Coturnix japonica: one gene and its partners. The protein of the gene in region 3 interacts with the protein of the main gene of each other region in a biochemical or structural test. Links are inferred from orthologs where the notes say so. Each region holds a gene or a part of one and is shown on either strand. Other genes may lie near its edges.

The links.
Region 1: the proteins of HDAC4 (region 3) and YWHAQ are reported together in a solved structure, tested with the Homo sapiens proteins (2 studies listed by BioGRID, with this or other methods). The link is inferred for Coturnix japonica from reciprocal best matches to the Homo sapiens genes HDAC4 and YWHAQ.
Region 2: the proteins of HDAC4 (region 3) and NR2C1 form a complex in vitro, tested with the Homo sapiens proteins (2 studies listed by BioGRID). The link is inferred for Coturnix japonica from reciprocal best matches to the Homo sapiens genes HDAC4 and NR2C1.
Region 4: of the proteins of HDAC4 (region 3) and CAMK2D, one has a biochemical effect on the other in vitro, tested with the Homo sapiens proteins (2 studies listed by BioGRID, with this or other methods). The link is inferred for Coturnix japonica from reciprocal best matches to the Homo sapiens genes HDAC4 and CAMK2D.

Annotation. Positions count from the first base shown.
Region 1 is NC_029518.1:87,878,912-87,882,940, reverse strand, and holds the start of YWHAQ (14-3-3 protein theta), read left to right. Parts: upstream 1-1,229; 5' UTR 1,230-1,381; intron 1,382-2,259; 5' UTR 2,260-2,350; coding exon 2,351-2,644; intron 2,645-4,029. UniProt on the Homo sapiens protein: Adapter protein implicated in the regulation of a large spectrum of both general and specialized signaling pathways. Binds to a large number of partners, usually by recognition of a phosphoserine or phosphothreonine motif.
Region 2 is NC_029516.1:41,307,213-41,311,388, reverse strand, and holds the start of NR2C1 (nuclear receptor subfamily 2 group C member 1), read left to right. Parts: upstream 1-1,376; 5' UTR 1,377-1,488; intron 1,489-3,240; 5' UTR 3,241-3,262; coding exon 3,263-3,316; intron 3,317-4,176. UniProt on the Homo sapiens protein: Orphan nuclear receptor. Binds the IR7 element in the promoter of its own gene in an autoregulatory negative feedback mechanism. Primarily repressor of a broad range of genes.
Region 3 is NC_029522.1:3,010,512-3,014,256, forward strand, and holds part of HDAC4 (histone deacetylase 4), read left to right. Parts: intron 1-2,786; coding exon 2,787-2,903; intron 2,904-2,984; coding exon 2,985-3,183; intron 3,184-3,745. UniProt on the Homo sapiens protein: Responsible for the deacetylation of lysine residues on the N-terminal part of the core histones (H2A, H2B, H3 and H4).
Region 4 is NC_029519.1:50,655,346-50,659,308, forward strand, and holds the start of CAMK2D (calcium/calmodulin-dependent protein kinase type II subunit delta), read left to right. Parts: upstream 1-1,163; 5' UTR 1,164-1,296; coding exon 1,297-1,364; intron 1,365-1,954; exon of another isoform or gene 1,955-1,984; coding exon 1,985-2,079; intron 2,080-3,963. UniProt on the Homo sapiens protein: Calcium/calmodulin-dependent protein kinase involved in the regulation of Ca(2+) homeostatis and excitation-contraction coupling (ECC) in heart by targeting ion channels, transporters and accessory proteins involved in Ca(2+) influx into the myocyte, Ca(2+) release from the sarcoplasmic reticulum (SR), SR Ca(2+) uptake and Na(+) and K(+) channel transport.

The sequences.
Region 1 (4,029 bases), on a different chromosome or scaffold from region 3:
ACAGAGTAAATGCATCCCTCCATTGAAATGACCGGCAGTGTCGGTTCACAGCACAGACCTAATGCCCACATGCCTCATCACAGCCCTATCTGAACACAGACAGGAGCACTCCGAGCTGAGACGACAACATCCTGAGGTGATTCAGAGCATTCATCATCCCTTCAGGATGCTGGAGTAGCAGGACATGACTAAATTTGGTGATGCTGGAAGCAAAGGTGAGGGATTTCACTGCTTCACGTAGACACTGTGCTGTTTGAAGGGAGGTTTGAGCCTGAGGCCTTTAGGACCAATGGACATCGATGGTTACTGATGTCAGCGCGGGTCGCTCCCCGCTCAGGGCCCCACGGCACAGCGCCATTAACTCTTCACGAGCAATTTCCTGTCACCGGGCTCCTGGGGCACAGCTCACAGAATGACCCGGGTTGGAAGGGACCTCAAGGATCATGTAGTTCCAACCCCCCTGCCTGGCAGGGCCACCAAACATACACCTTTACTAGATCAGGTTGCCCAGGGCCCCGTCCAACCTGGTCTTGAACACCTCCAAGGACGGGGCATCCACAACCTCCCTGGGCAGCCTGTTCCAGGACCTAACCACTCTCCTAGTGAAGAACTTCCCCCTAACATCCAACCTAAATCTTCCCTCTCTCTGAAATCTCTCGCCCGACCGAGCGGCGGCACAAAGGCAGCATTCCTGACAGGAGACAACGCGCCGGGAGGGCGCCGGGCAGCCCAGCCCGCAGCCCAGCCTCGGCACCACGCACTGTGTCCTCCCACAGCCGCCCTACGGAGGGGGCACCGAGCCCGCCCCGCACGGCCCCATGGCGACACAGCCAGGGAGCTAAAGCACGGGCAGCCCCCACAGCACGGGCAGCCCCCACAGCACGGGCAGCCCCCACAGCACGGGCAGCCCCCACAGCACGGGCAGCCCCCGCCGGCCGCCCCCGCCCGTTCCCGCGCCGTGTCGGTGCCGACCCACCGTGGTGGAGCGGGGGTTGGGCGGGGGGGGGGTTGTAGCAGTATCGCCATGGCGACAGTGACGTCATCTCACCCTGGATCTAATTGGAGGAAACCCCGTGGCCCCAGCCGCAGCCCACGGGCCAACCGAGCTCGCGCCCTGCCCGCGCTCGCCCCCGCGGCGGCGCGCTGCCCTCGGATTGGCCGGCGGGGAGCGGAGGGGCGGGGCCTGGCTCGCAGGAGAGGCCGCGATTGGCCGCGTGGGCGCGGGCCGAGCGGCGGGTAGGCTCGGCCGTGCCAACGCCCTTTAGCGCTGGCTCTCGCCCGCTTCGGGAGCGGCTCTTTCTCTCCGCCACATCCCGAGCGAGGCGCAGCCGATCGGGTGCGGCCCGGCCCGGCCTAGCGCAGCGCAGCGCAGCGGACTCAGGTGAGCGCGGCGTGGGCCGCTTCCCGCCGGCCGTGCCGCCGTGCCCCGCCTCGGCGCCGCGTCCTCCATTTTGTGAGCGCGGCGTGGAGCGCTCGGCGGTGCCGGGTTGCGGAACGAGCCGCCGGGCGGCGCCGCCATTTCGTACCCGCCGGGGCTTCGTCCTCCGCGCCCGGCCACGCTCGTCCCGCTCCGCCGCCCCCCGCTTCGCGGTCCCCGGGGACGAGGCCAACGCGGAGCCGCCGGGCCCCGACCCCACCCAGCGGCCGGGAATGGAGGGGCTCCGTGCCGGGGCCGGGGCCGCTCCCGCCGGGGGGATGGTCCCGCCTCGCCCCGCCGCCAGGAGGCGAAGCGGCCCGAGCTGCCCGCCCGGCCCCGCCCGGCCCCGGCGTTGTCTCCAGCCCCGCTGAGCTGCGGCCTCAGCTCCGAGCGCGCTGTTCTCCTTTCTTTCTTTTTAAATAGCTTTTTTTTCTGTTTCCTCCTTTTTCTTTGCCCTCCCCTGCGGGGTGAAGGCACGTGGGGAAGGCCCTCGGGCTGCCTGGGAGCTGGGTGTCCTGCTGTGCGGCTCCATTGAGCAGCTCTTAAGTGTGTTGGCACAGTAAGGACAAAAGCCGCTGTGGTACGTTGGTACGACTGCCCGGTGCTCGGTCCTCTGGCCGAGGGACTGTGACCCATCCCCGGCTGGGTTTCTGGGCTGTTGCTTCCCCAGGGTGGGCCCGGTACCAGTGCCTGCTTCTGCCCAAGGGAGGGACGGTGCCAGTGCTGCGCCATGGGATGTACTTGGGAATGGGGAGCTCCCTACAGTCCCAGTAAGGGGGCTGCAAGGACACCATCCACAGCGTTGGCTCCTGGAGTCACGGTTGCTGTCCTTCTCCTGGCAGGCTCTGAGGCTCGTTCTCTTGCTGGCAGAGTGACGTCCTCAGCTTCTCCTGCCTTTGCTACAACACTGCCCTCGTCCTGCCGCCGGCCACCATGGATAAGACCGAGTTGATCCAGAAAGCCAAGCTGGCGGAGCAGGCTGAGCGCTATGACGACATGGCCACCTGCATGAAGGCGGTGACGGAACAGGGGGCTGAGCTGTCCAACGAGGAGCGCAACCTGCTCTCGGTGGCCTACAAGAATGTGGTGGGGGGGCGACGCTCTGCCTGGAGGGTTATCTCCAGCATCGAGCAAAAGACAGACACCAGCGACAAGAAGATGCAGCTTATCAAGGACTATAGGGAGAAGGTGGAGTCTGAGCTCAGGTCCATCTGCACCACGGTGCTGGTGAGTGGGGCCTTTCCTTTTTCCGTGTTTTATCAAAAGAGAGAAGCGGGATGCTGCTGTTTTGAGGAGGGTGGGAAATGGGCTGGGCACTATGTGAGCTATTATGCTGGAGTGGGTAGTTCAGTAACTTTTGCAGCTGCCATATTGGTTACTTTGAGACAGAAAATCATCTGCACTTTGCTGCGGGTGCTGTATATGCAGAAGTAATCGAGGTGTGCTAAGCTGTGTTTGAGATGCACATCTGATGGAGTTACCTGTGTGCAGTACTACGCTAGCTGAGCACAGAGATGCAGGGAATTTAGGCTTGTGCTTTGGTTTGTAAGCTAATCTTCACAAGGTAAGCTGAAAAGAAAATGAAAGCCCTTTATTTCTGAAGGTTGGTGCTAGTAACCTGTTAAATGCATTTAAATTAATGGCGTTCATTTAATGTGCTGCTTCATGTGAGGAAAAACACTCTTTAAAGGCCTTAAAGAGGCATTTTTTAGATTTTCTTTCCTAGGTAATAAGGTATGATTTCATAAAGGAAGACATCTTCCTTGAAAGTAGGAAAGAAAAAGGTAGAAATCTGCTTTGTCACACTCAAGTTGATTTAGTGGGGGCTGTTAAAAGTGAATTTGCAGTTATTTTGGACTAATGCACAACTGTGGCTTGGAAACAGGATATTCCATGACAGGTATTGTGCACCTGGGCATGTTTCAAAGCCCAGCAATATATTTCCATGTGAGGAGCAGAATTCCAGATGCTGTTGATGGTGAAGCAGCATTGCAGTGCAGCAGGAGCTCCACAGACCTGTGTCAGCAACATGGGAAGTGTGCAAGCCTGTTGTGTGTGATCAGGGTCTACTGACTGCAGGAAGCTGTGTGTGTGTAGTGCAGTGCTGATGGTGTGGCATGTCATCTTCAGTGGTTAAGCTGTGTATTTTTGATGTCTAGTATTGCAAGCATGAGAAAGGAAGTGAGTAAGGAAATAAACAGTTTTTGATTTAACCCTGAATCGGGTTAGGAGACCTGAGGTTAAAGATGGCTGGTTTGGAAGTAATGGATTTTGCATCTTGAGAAGTGTTTTGGCTCATGTACAAGGGTGCTTTGGATTGTATTGAAAATACTGTGTGCTTCCTCACATGCTGCCTCCTGGATTCGTTTCTAACTGTGAGTCAGAGGCCTTCTATAAAATCACAGAATCACAGAATGACCCGGGTTGGAAGGGACCTCAAGAAACAAGCAAGTCCAACCCCCCTGCCTGGCAGGGCCACCAAACATACACCTTTACTAGATCAGGTTGCCCAGGGCCCCGTCCAACCTGGCCTTGAACACCTCCAAGGATGGGGCATCCACAACCTCCCTGGGCAGCCTGTTCCAGGGCCTAACCACTCTCCTAGTAAAGAA
Region 2 (4,176 bases), on a different chromosome or scaffold from region 3:
AACAAAGGAAATTGATATAAACTCCCATCACCCTTCCAAAAGAGTTCTAACAGCAAAGACATCTTTTTCAGAATATAGTTAACCACTTCAAGCTTTAAATACAGTCTCTAACACTAGTAGAAGTTTCTCTCACGAGTGCATAACAACCTGAATATACATACCTCAGTAATAAAACTTCTTAATCAGAGTGTGTGGATGTGGTCATTTAACACCATTAGGTTGGGGAGCACCATCATTCTGCTCTTACACTCCTCTTCCTCAGAAGGATGGGGAGGAGATGTGAAAAACTTTCATGTGTTAAGGTAAGGACAGGGATATCAGTCACCAGCTACTGTCAAAGCAAAGCAGACTGGAAGTGTGAGAACTGAAAGCCAACTGAAAACACTACCTTCCTTGCCCGCTCTCTTCTATTTCCCCACCCTGTGAGTGGCGCAGGGGAACTGGGAGTGGGGCTGCAGTCTGTAATGCTTCGTCCCTGCTGCTCCTCCATGGTTTCTCTCTGCCCCTCCTCCACATGGGGTCCCTCCATCCTTCTCAAACTGATGCCTCATGGCCTTCCCACAGGCTGCAGCTCTCCAAGCACTGCCCCAGCACAGCTCTGTACCACAGGGCCCACCCTTCAGGCACTGCTCCACATGGGTCCCCATCAGCAGCAGCTCCCCCAGCCTTCCTGCCCCACCACAGGCTTCACCCCACAGGTTGCAGCTTCAGATGCAGCTGCTCCTGCAGGGGCTCCCCATGTGCTGTGGCTCCTCCAGGCCTCATCCACTGCTGCACCATGGGCTCCTCCATGGCTGCACATGGAGATCTGCTTCGTATGGTACCTGTGGGCTGCAGGAGGATGCCCTGCTCCTCCATGGGCCTCTCCTGGGCTGCAGGCAGCTTTTGTTGAGCAAACCGGTTGTGGCTTTGGGGTCTGATAACCTTTCCTGTTAACATTCAGATCCATTTCTCTCTCCAGGAGGGAATGTTTCAAGAGAGATTTATCTCTCCTGTGTTTCTCAGGCCAAACGTTAGCAGGTGAATAGTACCTAAGCTGTGCTACAGAAGCGCAAATATACTAATGTGTACAAGGAAGAACCCGAGGAATGTAGCAAATGACCTCAAATTCTTTGCCAAGTGAAGGATTTTGTACTTGTTTTTAGTGATGTCATGTATATAGTTTTACATTGCTTCCTGTGCATGTACTTCAGCATGTGGACCAGAAGTCTGCCAGACCACTTTGTGGTCATATACGTGTCCTGGTTTGTTCTTGGGGCTGCCCGTTGCTTTATTTTCATCCTCTTTTTCTTGTTTCTTCACCAGGTTCATCCATAAAATTCCAAAATAAGTGTGTCTAAACTCCAAGGCTCACCTCACAGCAGTTTATAGAGCTGTGCGAATGCATGGGAGACTTCAGATGGCCTAAGTGGACATCATTCTGTGGCTGTGGAAAGGGGTGATCCTACAGTTCCAAGCCACCAGTGGTGCAGCAGTAGCATTTTTATGGTAATGTAATGAGTTAAGTCATTCATTGGGCTGAAAACTAACACAAACTAACATAAAGCTTTGCTTCTGGCTATGAGGTCACAGATATACCAGTGCTGGCATCAGGGGGTGCAGGCAGGAGCAGACCTCAAACTTGTGTTCAGCCTGTAGAAGGCCCTGGGGTGCTCTCATTGCAACCTTCCAGTAAATGGAAGCTTCTAAACAGGAGGGAGGCTAACTTTTGACATGCTCTGATAGCGATGGGAAAAGACTGAACAATTTTAAAGAGGAGAGATTTAGATTAGGTGTTAGGGGGAAAGTCTTTCCTCAGAGGGTGGTGAGGTGTTGGAACAGGTTGCCCAGAGAATTTGTGGGTGCCCCATCGCTGGAGGTATTAAGGACCGAGCAGGATTTAGCCCTGGGCAGCCTGAGCCAGTGGGGGACAGCACTGCCCATGGCAGAGGAGTTGGAGCTGGGTGGGCTTGAAAATGGTCCCTTCCTGCGAAGCTGTTCTGTAATTCCACTTAAGAAAACATCTGTTGGAATACAGTATCACAGCATCACAGTCTCACAGTCTTGTGCAGGTTGGAAGGGACCTTAGAGATCATCGAGTCCAACCCCCGGGATTTGAGCCCCTGTGTAGCAGAGCGGCACTTCTACCACTTGCGCCACAGGGGGGATTCAAACCGGGCATCAGCAGGCTTGAAAATCTTTCCTAGTGGTTGTTTTGCAGCTCACTGTATGTGTGAGTGCTTTAATAGAGCACTCCTGCAAAGATATTGGTACTGATTAGATTTTCTAAGGAGAGAATGCTTTTCAACGTAAGGTTTAGTCTTAGATGTTTTATGTATCTACCTGTCATCTTCTCAATTTAATGAATTAATGAATTAATTTAAGAGTTCATTGGGATAGTAGATAGTTCCTAGAAGTGCTAGCAAAGTTAAAGGGGGAAAATCGATTATACTTGTTATATGTACAGCTTTCCTACATATATAACTACTTCTATTAACACTTTGTCTGCAACGTAAAAGCTATATAATTCAAATATATTCTGTATTTGAAACAAATATTGTGTATAGATAAATCCTTTAATGTAAGAGTACTGTCTTGCCTTGTATAAGTGTTCCTAATACAACTTGTGTCAGAAAATGAAGTGTAGTGCTTCATAATTTGTGTCTGTTCCTTTCACAAACTGCCTAATGAATATCTGGACATAGATGCCCAGACAAACAATGCATACATCTGGATACTTAATGCTGCATTACAGCAGTAATGTATTAAATCCTAGAAAAACCTTCTCATGAAGATCTGGACTTCTTACCCTGCAACCGTAATACTGATGCTAAGTGTAGAATTGGCCTTCAGACACTCTTACTTGCACAAATGGATCCGTGTGTATTTAGAAGTTAAATTTTTTGCCCTTGATTTGCATCAACAAAATTGGCCAGGTTCTAGTTTTAAGGTGTTAATTATGTCCCTGCTAATGTCAGGGCCAATAATAACCTTCTGTTCTCAGGGAGTTCATTATTTTGTTGCTCTTTGTGAGAATAGTGAGGGAAAATGTGAGTTGAGTACAAAGATACAGAAGGTTGCAAATAGGAGATAATTTATTACTTTCACAGTATAATTAAGCTTCACATTTTTGCAGGGATGTCACCTGCAGACAATTATGAGTGTGATTTACGTCTATGGACCCTATTTTCCCGAAGGTGTTTTTTATTAGAAAGGCTGTAGATGTTAAGCATCTTCTTTCCTTTTTTTGTTTTTTGACAGGAAATTCTGGTGATTAACAGTCATGGCAACCATAGAGGAACTGGCCCATCAAATTATTGAGCAGCAAATGGGAGAGGTACAGAATTTTTTCATCATATTTAGGAGGCATTGAATAATAAAATGGACAGAGTAAGATGTAAAAATCCAGGTCCCAAGAGAAAGTAATTCTTAGTACACTCCAAGCTTCAGGAGACCCTCACATGGAAGATGAACTTATTGATTACCATCAAAGTTGTCATTATATAGATGTTACATTCCAGTTACAGAATTCATTCGTTGTCACTTTTGTTCTTATAAGTAAAGGCTTGCTGTGGTCTGCATTGTAAAATATTGGTTGACATTTGGTGTAAGTCAGAGGGAAACTGAACTCTTTCTGTTGGCTCCTGTTTTTCATTTCCTTTAACCTATATACAAAGTGTGCATACTGCAGCTAAAGAACTTCCAGAGATGCACAAGCAGTTTGGAAGTGTGAATCAGTGTATACATACTTAACTAGAACATTCGATCATTAGCAGCGCTTTAAATTAGATAAAAGCAGAAAACAACATTTATTAGCTTGAAATATCCACTCTTGGTTCCCTGTCTAGTACTGTGGATAGGATAAGATTGCACGTAATTTTAGTTCCTCTCGGTCTTGATTTCAAATGTAACAGCTGGGGACATGCAGGATGGTAAATCTGTTCTGTATAAATTCTTACGCTTTTCAGTATTGTAGCATCTGAGAACTACTAAGGTAGTTGTAATTTTTTTTCTTTCTCTCCCTTTTCCTCTTTACAGGGGGGAATGGTGTGTGTAGCGTAGCTTTGTTTGGTAGGATAAGTCCTTGGGGAAGCCTAGGTGGGGCTGTAATTCCTGTTTCTTGTGTTTTGGAAACTGGGGATTAGTCGAAGCTGGCTGAAGCATGTGTTCCAGTTGCAGAGGAGGATGGCAAGTTTA
Region 3 (3,745 bases):
TTTTGCAGCTGTATTACAGTGGCTAATTCACAGCAACACCTCTGCATGTGGGGAAGGAAGCACCTTGAGCTAAACTTATAGAAAGAACAACACATCACATACCATTTTCTTATATAAAAATCAGGAAGAAAATGTAGTTGTGATCTCCCTGAAGAGAATGCTTGGAGTGTTTTTACCTTTTCCTATTTTTGGGGGGAAATAATGAATATATAACGTACAAATGATTGTGCAGTATTAATGTTAAAGGTGTCCAGGACTGCATAAAGTATATTGGATCGCTGCCATCATAGAACAGAATAGAGTATAAATCACTGTGTGATGGCAAGCAGGACGTCGATAACCCATCGCACAAATTGTTCTCCCAGCATTTCAGGCCTGGTGGAATGGCTTAGCTAAATGTCCAAGTTCCTTGCATCAGTCTAGGGGGAAAATGGCTCTGCGTTTTGTGTAGCATGAAAGTAGCTGATCCTTTTGCCTGGAGAGGTTTATTTGGGAAGAACTACATGTGGCAAGATTTTGGTTTCTTTTGAATCCTCTTTGGTGCAAGAAGTATTACCTAGCAGCCCAGCAGCTTAAGATTTCTTTGATACCAGTTGACTAGGCTCGCATTACGTTCCCACATTTGTGTAGAATATTGATTGAAATGCCTCTGAAACATCAGTGTTGGCAACTTTCTGTTTTATGCTTACCTTTACTTTCTAGTTTTAAGTGAGCAATGTGTCCTTCTGCTTGTTAGTTTGCTCGCTCACCTCTTTAACCATTCCAGGTGTGTTGGAATGTGGTGTTGGACTTCATCGCTGAAGTTCAAGTGCTTGCCTTCCCAATAGAAAGACTTGAGCTCACTGCCTCCTTTAAAATAGACAATGCCTATTTTTAAACAATGTTTTTTAGGTCTGAAAGTTTTTTTCTGCCTTGGAAAGGTATGTGAGATTCATTGCCATTGCAGGCTGTTAGCTGCCTTTGAAAAGTACTCGATCACAGGGGAAAATTGTGCATGCTGAAATTGCTCTCTTCTGTGCAATTCTAACAGTGTTTGTGTACAATCCAGTGATGGGATTTGTGTATTTAAAGCGATGATAATGCTGCTAAATATCTTACGCTTGTAGTGTTTTTCTCATCATTGTTTTTGAAACGAATCCCCAGGAGATGTTTTGAGGCACAACTCCACTTTACCGATGGTTCAAAGAGAAAATGGATGTTGGTTGATTTCGTTTACGGTATCAGTAAAATATTTCATTACTCTGCTGGCAATAACTATCTTGCTCTCAATGTGGCGTGATAACATTTTGTGTTATTTAAATTAAAGGAAAATTGCCAGTAGTGTTCAGAATTACTAGGAAAGAGGAGTGTGTGGGTATGCACAATCATACGCCCATAGCAGGTACCATTCAGCAGCAAAATGCTCTTTTCCAATTTCCTCCTTTGTGGCAGCAAATTTGTAACCGAGATCTTAAAAGCAGATTTACTGTTTAATATATTTCCCATAAGCTTGACTGACGTTAATGAAGGCACAATAAGACAAAGGGAAATAAAAAATTCACTCCGCAGATGAAATTTCGCACGGTATTGTATGAAAGTTAAGCAGCTTTGCTTGATGTATGGAATTCAGACCTGGTTGGGTGCTGGGACCACGAGCTGCAGGTCATAAGGGTCCTGTAAGGGTTACTCATGCAGTCATGGGCAGGTTTGCTCTTCTTCCACGGGCATCACTAACTCGCAGCTCATAGAGTTGGGCTCTCCTGTTAGAGACATCAACTGGCCCACCAGGTTTGCTGTGAACCAAGGAGGCGGGATTGCTTCTGAAGGTTGCTGTGCATTATTTGAGGTTGCTGTGCATTATTTTTTTTTCAGTATTTTTTCTTATTTTACTGCCCTTTTTTCCCTCACCCCAGTGGTTGCTGTAGTGATGTTACCACGTTACACCTTTTGAGGGGAAAAACAGGTTTTTGTTACCCAGAGTTGGCCGAGTCTTGCAATCAAGGAAGTAACCTGCCAAGTCCCATTTCCTCACATAACTGTTTAGGTCTGAAATGTACAAATCCATTATCCAGTTCTCTTTTGCTATGGGAATAATGTGTGTCATTGATACATACTAGATTAACCATTATCACTTTCTTATCCACAGCAGCAACAGAGTTAAAACAGTAGATATTCCATAGCAAATCTTCCTGAAATCTAAGCGCTGTTTGATTTAAGTTGTTTATTTAAGCTGCTTTTTTAAGTTTTACTGAAGGTGATTTAAGTGAATGGAACACTTCTTTCTTAATAGAAAAATCAGGCACTTTAAAATAATGTAATTTTTATAATGGGCTTTCTACCAAGTATTTCAAATCAATCTCATTTTGTAATTAGGTGTTTTTACTTAAGTGCTCCTGCTTTAAATGGCCACAAGGTAATTCAGTAAATCTTACATTTCAGCCTGAAAATCGGGGAATGGCAACATAAAAAGGCCCTTTGATGAAATTTCGAAGTCTGATTTCAGCTAAAGCATGCTGGTAAATAGGGTAAATTGTCTGTGATTTGCTAAAGAAAACAACCACTGCAGTAATGCCTTTCTTATTGTTATGGTAATCTGTTTTTGCTTTAAAAGGGCAAACGCTATGGAAAGAGAAGTAAGGCTGGGTCTTGAAGCACAGCTTACCTCCCTCTTTCAGTATTCCCAATGTCAGAAGTGAAGTTTCCTGCTCTGTACTCTCCTGCTGGGCCCTCACAAGCGCTGAGCAGCGTCCTCCCTCTCTGATGGGTGGTGCAGTCTCACTGGGACAGCGTTTTCCTTTTCTTTGCAGACCAGCCTGGCTCACCGACTGGTGAATCGCGAAGGCTCCGTAACGCAGCTTCCACTCTACACGTCTCCTTCTTTGCCCAACATCACACTAGGACTGCCTGCCACCGGCCCTTCCAGTGTAAGTGATGGGGAACATGGGCTTTGAATTGGTGCTTGATTTCTCCTTTAACCCACACTGACATCACCTGGGTGTTTGCAGGGAGGATCCGCGCAGCAGGATGCTGAGAGACTTGCTATCCCAGCCTTGCAGCAGCGGATCTCTTTATTTCCTGGCACCCACCTCACTCCCTACTTGAGCACTACAGCGTTGGAAAGAGATGGGGGAACCACACACAACCCTCTTCTGCAGCACATGGTCTTACTGGAGCAGCCAACTGCACAAACTCCCTTAGTCACAGGTGAGCACATGGTAGATAATGTGCAAAGCCTGACATGCAGTACCTTGAACATTATCAATGTGTTTCGTAGGTTTAACTTACACATTTGTAGGCTCTCCAATGTATATGATGGGTAGTTTCCAGCTAGAGTAGCCACATCATCCATAGGCAGGAGGAAGATGCCTTGTCATTTTGACAGAATGAAATTAAATAGCGTGTACTTTCAGGCTTACGCTTTTCTTCTGCATGCAACAATTTAAAGAGTATCTTTGGAGTTCTGGCCACTGTAAATAGGCAACAAAAATGTTGTGTCTTGTGATTGCCCTTCCTGTTGATCACTGATGGTTTCTGTTCCAGGTAAAACAGAAGCATGCATTTAGAAAATCACAGATTAAAATACTGGCTTTTTATGGTTATTACAAATAGCAAAAATGTGGCAAAACCAACTGTGTTCCACCAGATTGTATTTGTTTGTATATGTTACATTTGCAGCATGTTAATTGCTTTGAATCACTCCCTGTGTCATGTTTTCAGAATTAAGTACCTGTGGGAAGGCGTATTACTATAAATAGAATTGATTCAA
Region 4 (3,963 bases), on a different chromosome or scaffold from region 3:
GCCAGGGCCTGGGCTGGGAGTATGGCTGCATGTAACAGCGTGCGCCTTGGCGGCGGGTGTGGAAGCAGCCACATTTGGGAAGGGTTTTAGGCACGTTGTAATGATTTCCAACTTCGGACTGTGAAGAATGCTGCCGTTACCACCATCAGCAGCTCTTCACCTGCTGCTGCTGCTTTGGCTTTAAATATTTTGGACAGAAATCTTATGGATGAAATGTCTATAAAACCAGATGCGTTGATACTTCAGCCGCACCATTTCCCACACACAGCCGCTTTACCCCACTCTCAGCACGGCTCTCAGTGACACGACAGCGGCATTCCCAGCCCTTCTAACCGAGCACGGTGCACGCTCCGTGTTGGGACCCCCGCTGTCGTCCAACCCTCCTCCGGTGCTGCGGAGCCGCCCTTCCCCGCTGCAGGACCGAGCCCAAGGTCACAGCCCCCGAGCCCACCCCGCGCTGCGGAGCCCCGGGAGGAGAAGAAGGAGGAGAAGGAGGAGGAGGAGGAGGTGGGGGGGGTGTCGCGCGGTCCCGCTTCCCTCCGGCTGCCGCCGCGCGCGCCCCCGAGCACGGCCGCCCCCCCGCCCCCGCGGGGCGGTTGTTGACGTCAGCGGTCGCCGAGGAACGGGCCGCAGGTGCATCCGTTTCCTCGGGGCCGGCGGCGCCTCCCGCCTCCGTGCCGGGTGCGGATCGAATCGGATCGGCCCTTCGCGCGGCCGTTCCCCGAGCGCGGAGCCCCCCTTGCCAGAGCGGCCCCGACGGGCGGCGGCAGAGAGCCGCGACGGGGCGGCCGCGAGCGCTGGGCTCGTATCGCTAGGGGGAGGCACGGCACCGGGAATCGGCGCGGAGCGAGGCAAGGCGGCCCCGCTGCCCGCGGGCTCGGGAGAACGTAGGGCCGGGGCGCCCCGTCGCCGGCTGCCGCGCCGCGCCCCCCGGCCCGGTTTTGCTTTCCCTTTCGGTGCCGCCTCTCCGCCGCGACGTTTTATTTATTTATTTTCCCAGAGGGTGGGGACGAGGGGAGGGGAGAGACTCGCCGCGGGGACGAGCCGCCTGGCGGGGAGGAGGCGGCCCCGACACGAGAGGCGGCGGCGGCGGCGGCGGGGAGGGGAGAGACTCGCCGCGGGGACGAGCCGCCTGGCGGGGAGGAGGCGGCCCCGACACGAGAGGCGGCGGCGGCGGCGGCGGCGGGGAGGAGAAGCCGGCGCGGAGCCGCTCCTCGCATCGCCTCGCCCACCCCGCAGCCCCTCCGCCGCCTCGCCTCCCCTGGCCGCCGGAGGCACCGGCGGCCGCCCGTCCCCATGATGGCCTCAACCGCCACCTGCACCCGCTTCACCGACGAGTACCAGCTCTACGAGGAGCTCGGCAAGTAAGTACGGGGCCGCTCCGGGGACGAGGGGGGAGAGGAGGGAAACACTGAGAGTCGGGGGGGCTCCGTCCCCGCGGGTTGGGGTGTGCGGGGCGATGCCTGCAGCCCTGCCTCGTCCCCGGGCGTCGCTTCAAGGCTGAGACTCGGTCCGTGAGCACAGCTCCGGGTGGGCGGCAATCCCTGCGGGTGCTGCGGGCGGTGACGGGCTGCCCTGCTGCCGGGCTGCCCTGCCGGCGGCAGCCGGAGCTCGCTACCCCCGACACGACCGCGGCCGGTTCGTCGGGCGCCCCCCTGCGTTGGGGCGCGTATCCCCGATCGCCATGTTGGCACGGACACGGGGACCCGGGGCCGCAACGTGCCGCCGCCGGGAGAGCGCTTCGGTCGCACCGCTCGAAACAGCGGCTCTGAGCAGCGTTTTGCTGTTGCGTTGATTAAAATGAGCGCTGACCGTCTCTGACAAGCCTCCCTTCTTCTTACAATTTATTTTTCTTATTATCCCGTTCCCTCCCCCCCTTAATTCTTTGGGCATCGTTCCGCTCCTTTAGATGTGTGGCAGCGCGGTGGTAATGGCAGGGCGCTGTTCGGGTGGCACTGACGCTCTGTCCCCTCTTGGCTTGCAGAGGAGCGTTCTCGGTCGTGAGGCGATGTATGAAAATCACCACAGGACAGGAGTATGCTGCCAAAATCATCAACACCAAAAAGCTCTCGGCCAGGGGTGGGTATATTCCATATATTCCAACCGAGCGTTTACGATATCTTCTCCTCATTTCTTGCATTCTTGTGGCGAGCGTTAAAACGGAGCACAGAATAATAAGAATTAAGGTTATTAATTTTCTCAGTAATTTTCTTCATTTCCTTTCAGGCAGTGGTTCTTTTTTATGCTAAACGTTTCAGAGGTTAACCGTATGGAGGGCTGTGTTGCTGTACCTTAAAGGGAAGCTTTATGAAGTGATTTAAATGAGTGCATCCTCTTCCCGTTTTTACATTGGAAAAACTGGAAAGGATTGTACACTCTGATTTTTTTAGGGGAAGGCTGGGAAACAAGTTGACATTGCGGCTTTTATCATAAATATGTGTTTTCTTTTCTGAATTCAAAGTTTCCATTGCATTTAAACTGAAACGTGAAAAAGGCCTATTTGAATCCGTGGAGAAGAGTGTGATGCCCCCTCCTGTACTGAACTTTGTGATGAGATCCCGGGGAAAGGGAAAATTCCTTTTTTGAAGCGTCCATTTGTGAACACAAGTCATTCTGAATGACACATTGTGTCACAGCTCCAGCCCAGCATTAATGCCTGCTGCACCGCATGCTTAGGTTTTACTGTAACATGTTTGTTTCCCTTATGTTCTGCCTGTCAGTGGGAAGTCGTGGTGATACATTTGGGTGGTCACGTGTGTGCTGTAGGTTACTGCTGTCGGCAGCAAGCCTCAATGGAGATATGTCAATTCCTTGTTAAACCCACGTCAAAGTGATTGTAGGAGGATGTCGAGGATTAGGGATTATTCTCTGTTAACACTACCTGTGTTTTGATGTGAGTTTGTGATATGGTAAAGAATGTGAAAGTGAATAAGCAAGTGGTGTCAGCTCTGTAGTCTTCCTTAGAAGTCATCATTTGAGACATGCTGTTTTTCAGGCTTTCATTTTGTGCTTCCTTGGCTGTTCAGGCAGGACCGAGTTGGTCCTCACTGCAGCCCATTGATGCACCCAGACCTGCTGGGGAGAATTTGGCTGGCAAGGTGGAATGTAGCAAAACTCATGCAAAGAAAAATTTCTGTTGGTTTGAAGTGTAGGCCCATAAAGCAAGGAGTTGGGTTTTCGAGGTTGGTAACTGGGCTGTGAAATATTCTTCCATATGTGAATGAATGTGATGCTGTGTCCACGAATGCAGTGGATCCATTTCCATCTTGGCTTTCAAAGATTCCAGATTTTATTTTATTATTTTAGTTTACATGCACTGCTGTTCTTTAGCTTTTATCTTTTGGAAGACAAATAACAACATCTCAGCAGCTTTTGAAGAGCAAGCTCCTTACAGAGATCCTGGGATTCCTCTTAAGCAATTCTGCAGTTACAAAAGGGTGTTACTTGCAGTGCCTCTGTCTGTGATACTTTAACGTGACTGATACTAAGTATGCAGCTTACAACTCGGACTACATTTCAAGTAGTATCTAAATTATAAGTTTCATTCTCCTCCTGTCTGATCTGCTTTATGATGAGGTAGCAGTTCACTTTGATGTTTCCAGCTTCTCACCTGAAATACAGATCATAATGTAAATCTGAAGGTTATTGGGTGAGCTTCATCTGTGAGCGGTTAGAGGTTCTCAGCTTGCCATGTATCCCATGTACAACCCTGCTTGTCTGTAACTCTGAAGCACTACATCAAATTTGAGCCTTCTTGCTTGCAAGACAGAGTTGCCATTACAGTGTTTTGATGGGGAGGAGTCACGGCTGTTAATCTAAAGGAGAACTCAACATGATTTGAGTTGAAAAATTATTTGACTGTGTCAGCCTTGATACAACAATAATTGTCACTCCAGCCACAAATGATGTTGGAGATTGTTTGGATCCTTCCCTTAGCAGCCCTTCTAAACACAGGGTGATGTC